Linked DNA regions of Daphnia pulex. The protein of the gene in region 1 interacts with the protein of each later gene in a pairwise test. Links are inferred from orthologs where the notes say so. Each region holds a gene or a part of one and is shown on either strand. Other genes may lie near its edges. The genes, in order: baculoviral IAP repeat-containing protein 7-like and caspase-1-like.

Evidence for each region.
Region 2: the proteins of baculoviral IAP repeat-containing protein 7-like (region 1) and caspase-1-like interact in binary tests that used the Drosophila melanogaster proteins (3 or more experiments, as listed by UniProt). The link is inferred for Daphnia pulex from reciprocal best matches to the Drosophila melanogaster genes Diap2 and Drice.

What each region holds. Positions count from the first base shown.
Region 1 is NC_060023.1:3,932,862-3,937,221, reverse strand, and holds baculoviral IAP repeat-containing protein 7-like, read right to left. Parts: upstream 3,052-4,360; 5' UTR 2,977-3,051; coding exon 2,739-2,976; intron 2,681-2,738; coding exon 2,519-2,680; intron 2,458-2,518; coding exon 2,260-2,457; intron 2,203-2,259; coding exon 1,764-2,202; intron 1,695-1,763; coding exon 1,198-1,694; intron 1,125-1,197; coding exon 1,060-1,124; 3' UTR 826-1,059; downstream 1-825. Other genes in the region: uncharacterized protein LOC124198279, read right to left, coding at 85-224, 319-406; loricrin-like, read left to right, coding at 4,001-4,009, 4,069-4,150.
Region 2 is NC_060028.1:7,607,074-7,610,690, forward strand, and holds caspase-1-like, read right to left. Parts: upstream 2,215-3,617; 5' UTR 2,028-2,214; coding exon 1,957-2,027; intron 1,878-1,956; coding exon 1,615-1,877; intron 1,551-1,614; coding exon 1,375-1,550; intron 1,302-1,374; coding exon 1,169-1,301; intron 1,080-1,168; coding exon 829-1,079; 3' UTR 613-828; downstream 1-612. Other genes in the region: uncharacterized protein LOC124208790, read right to left, coding at 2,587-3,068, 3,155-3,406, 3,475-3,617.

The DNA.
Region 1 (4,360 bases):
GAGAAACTTGTTAAAAATTTTAAGTCTTTAAAACTTTCATCCGGTAGGATCCCACTCATTCATTCATTATAGGCTATATAGTACCAGGAATTGACTAATACAATAGAAATGAGTGCCAACAAAGTAGCAATCTGCCTCTCCATGATTGCTAGACAAGTTTCCAATGGGTAATGGCCGAGGAGGAAGAATTGCTGATCCATTGCCGAGAACGATTCTTTTAAATCCTGATTCGTTCATGAATATCATATAATTACAAATGGCATCCTGATTTCATCTTGATAATAGAGAAGTAAGTACATGCACGAATGAGGAACTTACTATTTGATTTTTCGAGGTCACCATGACTGTCCGACCTGATCGAATGAACAAGGAGGATGAAGAAAACCGCCGCCTTGGGAGAACACATTGCCTGCTGGAAATCAAATACCGTTATTCGTTAGTGGCTACGCATATCAAATTAACAAGTGGGTTACACTCAACAGTTAGAGACAGTAGGCCTAATCACATCGATAAGATATTTAGGAATGAAGGCTTGTTTTTGTCTACTGGCAATGCACACAGCGAAACGAACGCGTTCTTTGTTATTGCGAATCTTAACTTTTTTTAAAATGTTTGTTTTGTTCTGAAATTATGTTACAGACCTTACTCTAGGACGTGATGCTTGGTGAACACGCAAGACTTGACTATTGGCCATACACGCACTCGCACCTTTAACATTCAACTTCCTGTTTCGGTTGAAAAGAGACCTTCACGGTTTCACGGTTGAAGTGGCCATCGAATACCAGAAGCTTCTTGCTATCACTGAAATATTTCGAACTTGAGTTATTTGAGATTTGAATAACTTTCCGTTTATTTTTTAAACTAAAGCCGGTGGGTTTGCAAGAACATTTGCAAGAATTTAAATAATAAACAAAAATCCATACTAAATACTTATTAACAGTGGAATTTTTTAAATTTACAAGTACTAAGTTGTTCCAGAACTTAGAACTGTACTTCAGAAAATATCTATAGTTCGTCTTTGCGATCGCCAATTCATTTAGACGAATCCAAATGAACTACTTAAGACAAGAAGATGCGGACTGTTCCTTTAATATTTTTTCGACAAAGAGGACAGTGTTCGAGAGCTAAAAAAAAAAAAAAATTTATTAAAACGCTAAAATTTTAGTAACATTATTTGATCAAAATATTGTAGTTTACCTGCCGCGCATTGGACACAAGTCACAATGTGTCCACAAGGAATATATGCAATTGACACTTCCTCGTCAAGACATACTTTGCAGAGACGAGCTTCTTTCAGGCGACGAATCTCCTCTTCCAAAATTTGGGCTACAACAAATAAAATGTTGGTCAAATTAATTATTTCAAAATGTCTGAAAATTAATACATTACTTCTATCGACGGATTGTGTGGATGTTTCACATGAAGCTGATACCTCTAGGGCACAACTTTGTTCTTTTATTTTTTCAGGATTTTCTGGCTTACTAAGAGTATCCATTTCCCGATGCGAAAGCGGGGTTTCAGATCTTACTTCCGAAACCAATGGTACAATTGGTACGTTCTCATTGGTATTTGTTCTATGTTCATCGCTCGGTGTACTTAGAGAAACGGGAAGTTCTACAAGGGTATATCCAGTTGATGTTACACGTCGACGAGAAGAGGAAGGTACAGCTGACGGCCAGTCCACATCTTCATAGCTAAGAAGGGTGAAAGGAATCAATGAAATGTCTAATTCGAGTTGAGAAGTGAACACGCAAAAGACTTACTTGCCATCTTCCAACGACTGGCGATGCTCGCTGTGATGCTGAATTTCAATAGCTGCCTCAAGAAGCGAATCAACTGTGTTGAAAGGCTGCCCAGTAGTACGAATTTGGTATTTTAGGGCCTGCCTAACACGAGAAAGGTCAACGCCCATTGCTAGAACAGTCTGAACTATGGGAGTTCCTAGTAAACTTCGCAGATCAGCTTCTGAAGCCTCTCTTGGTGAGGCACGTGAATTTCCCACTGATGCCGACAGGGAAGGCTTGGCTTTAGGATGATTGGACATGGATTCTGTCGCTTCTTTAATGTACTGTTCTCCTTTCATCAGCATAACAAAGCGACACTGAGGGAACCATCGAGCGTGTTCAAGCCATGGGTCGTCTTCTGGTTCCCAGTTTCTTAAGCCCGATCCACAATGAAAACAATTGACATGATCGTTGGTCCCTAAATCCATAAATTAAATTAACAAAATAAAACCAGAATTTTTTGTGCTATTTGTACCAAGATGGAAGAAACCAGATAGAGCCATTGCTCTTGGAGTTTGCTTCAGGTGGGAAGGCCAGTTATTATAACTTTTAAGTCGTGCATCCAAAGTAGCATATGAGGAATACCGAGGTCCGCTATGTTTAGTTATGCCCAACTCTTCCAAATTTTCTCCTACTAATGCATTCAATTGCATACTGTCTGGAGATCTCAATTCTATGAAACAAAATTGTATTGTAAACCAAATAGATAATGAAGTAATTAGTGGTTGTCATACCAGTGTCTGGTGAGGCATTTGGTCTAAATTGTGAAGTAAACTGCCTGGTAGCTCCAAATCCTATGTTCAACTGCTGAGGTACAGGTAGAGAAGCAGTTCGTTCTACATTCAGATGTACAGTGGATGGATTTTCACCCAAAGGTATATTACCTACTGGTAAACCTAACCAACGGACCACAAATTAATGTCATATTGCAATTTCCGAATTTAACAGACCAACCTAATATGAAAGCGCACGACGGAAACAAACGTTGATGCTCTCTTCTTGGGTCGTCATTTATTTCCCAATCTCTAACCACTCCTCTGCAGAACGCGCATTGAACTTGATCGTCAACTCCCACATAGAAGAAACCGGCTTTAGCAAGTAAGAGGGGGCTTAAAAATGTGGCAGAGAAGTGTTCGTTAAAAGTTCGCAAACGAATATCTTCTCGTCTAAGGGTTATCCATTCTTGAGGCATGATGAAAAAAGAAAAACAGACACGACGTCAGTAATACTGACACCATTGTGTCAAAACAGAGCAATGTGACGTTGCCAAGTATTTGGACTTTGGATATTCTGTTTTTAAGAAAAATAAAACTTTGTTTTATAAATGTTAGTTTTAAGTTTTGTTAGTTTTGTTAGTTTCTTAAGTTTTTTCTTATAAATGATTAAAAAAAGAAGATTACAGAAAAAACTAGAAAATTTGAATAAAATATGAAAGCATGACCTGATAAGCTTTTCAATGATAATAAAAGTTGGACGAAATGAGCAGTCTGTCAAATTTTTTGACGGTCGTATTCTCATCAAGAAACAATAGAAACAAACAATGATAACGGCTTAAATTTTGAATGGACTATTTATTTTGATTCGGACACAAACGGTTGATTCTCGCATCTATTTACAGTGAATGTTGATGATCTATTCACTTCAAACTCAAATTTATTAAACCATTTCGGAGGGAGACGCCGACTTTCAAACAAACAAACGACGAACTGAATGTCGAAATAATTGTTTGTCGTGTTGAAGATGAGAATTCTCATTTCATCATGAACGCGCATAAAAAAGAGAAATCGAAATGTCCTTACTACACCCCATTCGAAGGCGGACAATTGAAAAAGCGAAAGTGTTTAATGCCTTAAAATCTCATTGCTTTTGCCGCTGTTGATGTGATTGTGCCGCAGCAAAGGACCGAAAAGTGCGATCTTAGGTTTTTGTTGCCCTTTTTTGAATCGAAGAAGGCCCTACTCCACTTACTTATTGAGCCTCAGTCAACAAGCGCATCGTCGCGCTCTCTCTCACCCTCCAATTCTTTACTGTCATGAAGTTTCAAACACGCAGAAAAAAAGAAAGAAAGACCAATAGAAAGATTTCAGGCAGTGTGGTCATTAGTGGCGAAGACCTGGTGAAGACGTATATAAGGAGAAAAGATTTATGACTGAAAGCAGACGCTGAACTGAGCTGAAGACTTGAACACATCTAGTATTTCTTCTCAAGTAGTAGCAATGAAGAAGGTAGGCAACTAATATACTTGTTATCAAATTTTAGTTACATAACATTAAGATATTTCCAGGTTTTACTGTGCAATTGCCTTCTCATGGCAGTCATTGCCATCAGCCAGACGGATGCATTCTTCCTAAATAAGGGCTCTTCAGGTAAATCATTTTATAGCTATTCTTGTCGTCGCTCAAAAGTTACTGTTAGTGCCTAAATTTATACCACTTGTGTGCAACATAACTCAATTTCAGTAGTCATAAACTCTTGGCTGTCCCGTTGTAGTTAAGGAGTTTTGACTCTTATTTAAATAGGTAAATTGCATAATTATTTGATCAAGGTAAAATTTTCCATGCTACAGCTTGTTGTTT
Region 2 (3,617 bases), on another chromosome or scaffold:
CTTGGAGATATTTGTTTGGTTTCTATTACGTTTTGGGCTACCGGTCTAAAGTCGAAAAAAAAAAATCTATTTATGGCGGAATATTTAAAGCCACACCCGTGGTTTTCCAACAGAAAATAAAGGGGGAAAAATAAAAGTTAAGAGAGAGAGAGAGAGACAGTTCAACTCGGATATCTGATCGGAATTTTAGATTTATGGAGACGTTGGAGATGCCCAACTGAGCTCATGTTGCCTGTCCATATTCCCCTGTTCCTCTCCCCGCAGCTTATTTGTAGACGATAGGGGGGGGGGGGGGCCGGGCCAGCAACGACGGACAAGAGAAATAGAGAAGCATGCAGCATTAATGAAGAGACCTGCTGATCAAAATGGACTGTTATAGGTAGAGCTTAAGAGCTCATCCACATTTTAAGTCCTCTTTGTTGGACACTAAATCCACCGGCCGTTAGTTTTACAGCTCTGCACTGCCACAAAAGGAAGCCCCTGCAACGGCCCTTCATTCATGAGACGGACTTGTAAGTTAATCGCTGACCATTTCCAAAAAAGAAAAAGAAAACGTGAACACGGTGTCGACCTCGTTTGTTTCTCGAAATAACTTGACGCCCAGTCCGTCCATTTAACCGAAATGGTTTGCCCGTGTATACAAACGGCTTCGCATTGCATTGATACAAACACAGCACTTTAGCAAATAAAAAAGTGAGCAAAGTATTGAATTGTCGTCTGAAAGACTTACTTGATGAGATAGAAAGTGCGATCGAACTTAAATCGTTGTGAAGAATTCTTGATAAGGAGAAGAACAAGGCAACATTTTCTTGTTTCGTAGCTTTTCAATCAAATACGGCGAGTCGTCTTGCGCTTGAAATAAATTTTCCGAGTCAAGAGACTCGTGACGCAGGGAATTTGCTTGCGCTGGTGCATGTTCGAGTCTTGAGGCGTATTGGATTCGAAGCCGATCGAGACTATTCGAGAGACGGTCGTCATCAAGGAGAGTAGATCGTCTTCTCGGCCGCGCTCCGACAGCACGTAGCACAACGCCTGGACGAACCAAGATCCGTTAGTCGTATTGCGCCAGGAATAGAAACCTAAAAAGGCAACCGGGGCGCCCACAAAATGGCAATGGAGTAAGTCATTGGGAGTAAATTAGGTACGTTTTTCACAATGTCATTTTTACCCGGAACAGTTGAATACGCAATCAGGAAATCCGCGTGAGTGGGTATTTTGTAAGCCACTGCACTGGGCGAATCGGTTTCTGTGACTCTGGGCAACATTGTTGTACCTGCATCCAATCTGTCCCCCTGGCAAGCCTTTTCAAAGTAAACCATAATTAACTCAAGGTATTTGGGGACAGTGAAGTCCATTTTTTTAAATAATGTTTACCTGAATAAAGAAAAGCTTTGGTTTTCCAGCCAATGTGGGACATTGGTCAGACGTAAAGTGGGACCACAATTTTTCAGGTTTGTACTGCTGGTCTTTGGCATACAATATGCCATCATCACCATGGGACATCAATGCAACGAGAACACAATCGTGTTCAGAGTGATCCTCACTTGCCACTGAAAAAAAAATCACAAATAAATCAAAATTGAAAATGAAATTCAACTATGGGAAATTGCTTACATTTAATTATTTCAGTATTTAGTTCATTGAATGTCAGATCATTGAAATATGTGACATCAAAGTCCAGTTCCCTCAACCTCATGTACAGGTTGTCTCTGTCTTTAGATGTTCCAGCACGTGGTTTTAAATCAAGATTGGGGTTGAAGTTTTCGTGATTAAAGATGCAAGCCTTCCCTCGCTTCACATGATTCATGTTATATGCTTCTGAGTCACGATCAACAGGTAGGAAAGCAAAGCTGGGAAGGTCGGTATTCAAGCCAGGCCTTCAAAGACAAAAAATAAATGTGATTAGTGATTACTTGAGTGTCAAATAGTTTCAAGCCTTTCTTTTTTTTTACTTACTGTTTGAATTTAACATCAGGTTCATCATGTTTTGAACCCAATTCATTATTCTGAATTCCAACTTCCTCCATTTTATTTTACAAAACAATATTATGCCACTTGTTGGTTAGTGTTCAGGAATGACTCAACCAAGATGACTCAAACAGTTTTATACTATTTAGCAATAGATTTTTTCACAATCACAGTTTACTTGACAGTTCCTATCTCTGTGCATTGATTTTAACGAACCTGCCTCTGCCTCCTTTATTCGAGTTGAAAAAGACATCAGCGCAACCTACTGACGAAATGACCAAGCAGTTTCCCGGACGGTTGGCGGGTTGGAGCAATCTGTTTAAAAAAATAAATAATTTATAAAATGATTTTTTATCTTTTTCTAGAATCAAGGGATGAATCACTTAGGCTATGGTGTGTTGAACTCCATAGCAACTGCATCGTAATGTTAATTGCGAATGCATCTCATTCCTTGTTTGTTGTTTCCAAAATGAGAAACTACAAGTCTGGCATTTTTTGTTCAAATAGTTTTATTGTTAGAAATCAGCAAAGAAAGTCAATTAGTCATTTTCAATCGCACAGTAAATAATTTCTGTCTTGAATTTTAAATGAACATTTTCATTCCGAATCATGCAATCATCACACCATCAACGTTTTTACAAACTGGGAAATGTCTTCCTCGAGCAGGAAACCATTAAATTGGCTGAATGGACCATTCAAAGTCGTCCCTGGTGTTAAGTAATCAATTTCTAACCAGATTTGATCTCCCTTATTCAAATTCAACGTTGATTGAAGGGAAAGGGTTTCATCTTGCACTGTGGCGCTGATCTCGTCAGAATAACTCCTTGCAATTCGATCCCCGTTCTTATACAAATAAAGATAACAATTCTGTATTGTCGAAGATCCCGTAAATCGTATCAGTCCCGTGAAGGAGAAAAAGTACTTGCCCGCGACCGGTGCCGTGAATTTGCCTGATGTAAAATTCATGGCTCCTCCCACGTTTAGTATTTCAACGTCGAATGGAATAGGGATCTTAGTTTCGTTAAAGGTTACGTTTCTTTGAGCGTAGAAGTAGGTAGGAGAAGATTTAACATCCGCGTAACCGATCCACGTCTGGAAACCTGCAAATTTGATTATGTATTACTATGTAGAACTATAAATCGTTACAAGTTTACAATACGTGAACTTGTATTAAAGAAGCTCATACCTGAGTCAAAGGGCAGTTTATTAAAATCGCAATAAACAGCTTCAATCATTGCTCTTCCCATAACGGAATATAATCCACTCAAGGTGTGCCCCTTTCTCCACAAATCTTCGCATGACTTTGGCATTCCAGTGACAGTCACTTGTCCGGTACATTCAAAACGGCCAAGTGTGTGGACACCTGATGAAGTCTCTAGTTGAGTTCGACCAAAATTCAGCCGAGTAATGGGCAGAACAGTTTTATCAGTAATGACTCCTGCGTTTGTTAAAAATAGTTGGTCGGTTATTTAACATTCAAAAGAATCTTTTAAGATGATATTGAACCATCGTCGGATAACTGAATAGGCGCAGCAGAGTCGCAGTTGCATGTTAAAGGAGTTTCGACGCAATTTCCATCGATCCCGCACTGGCAGGTGTGGGTGTCTGTGTTGTTGCCCGACCAGAAATATTTGGCAATGCCTCCTTTG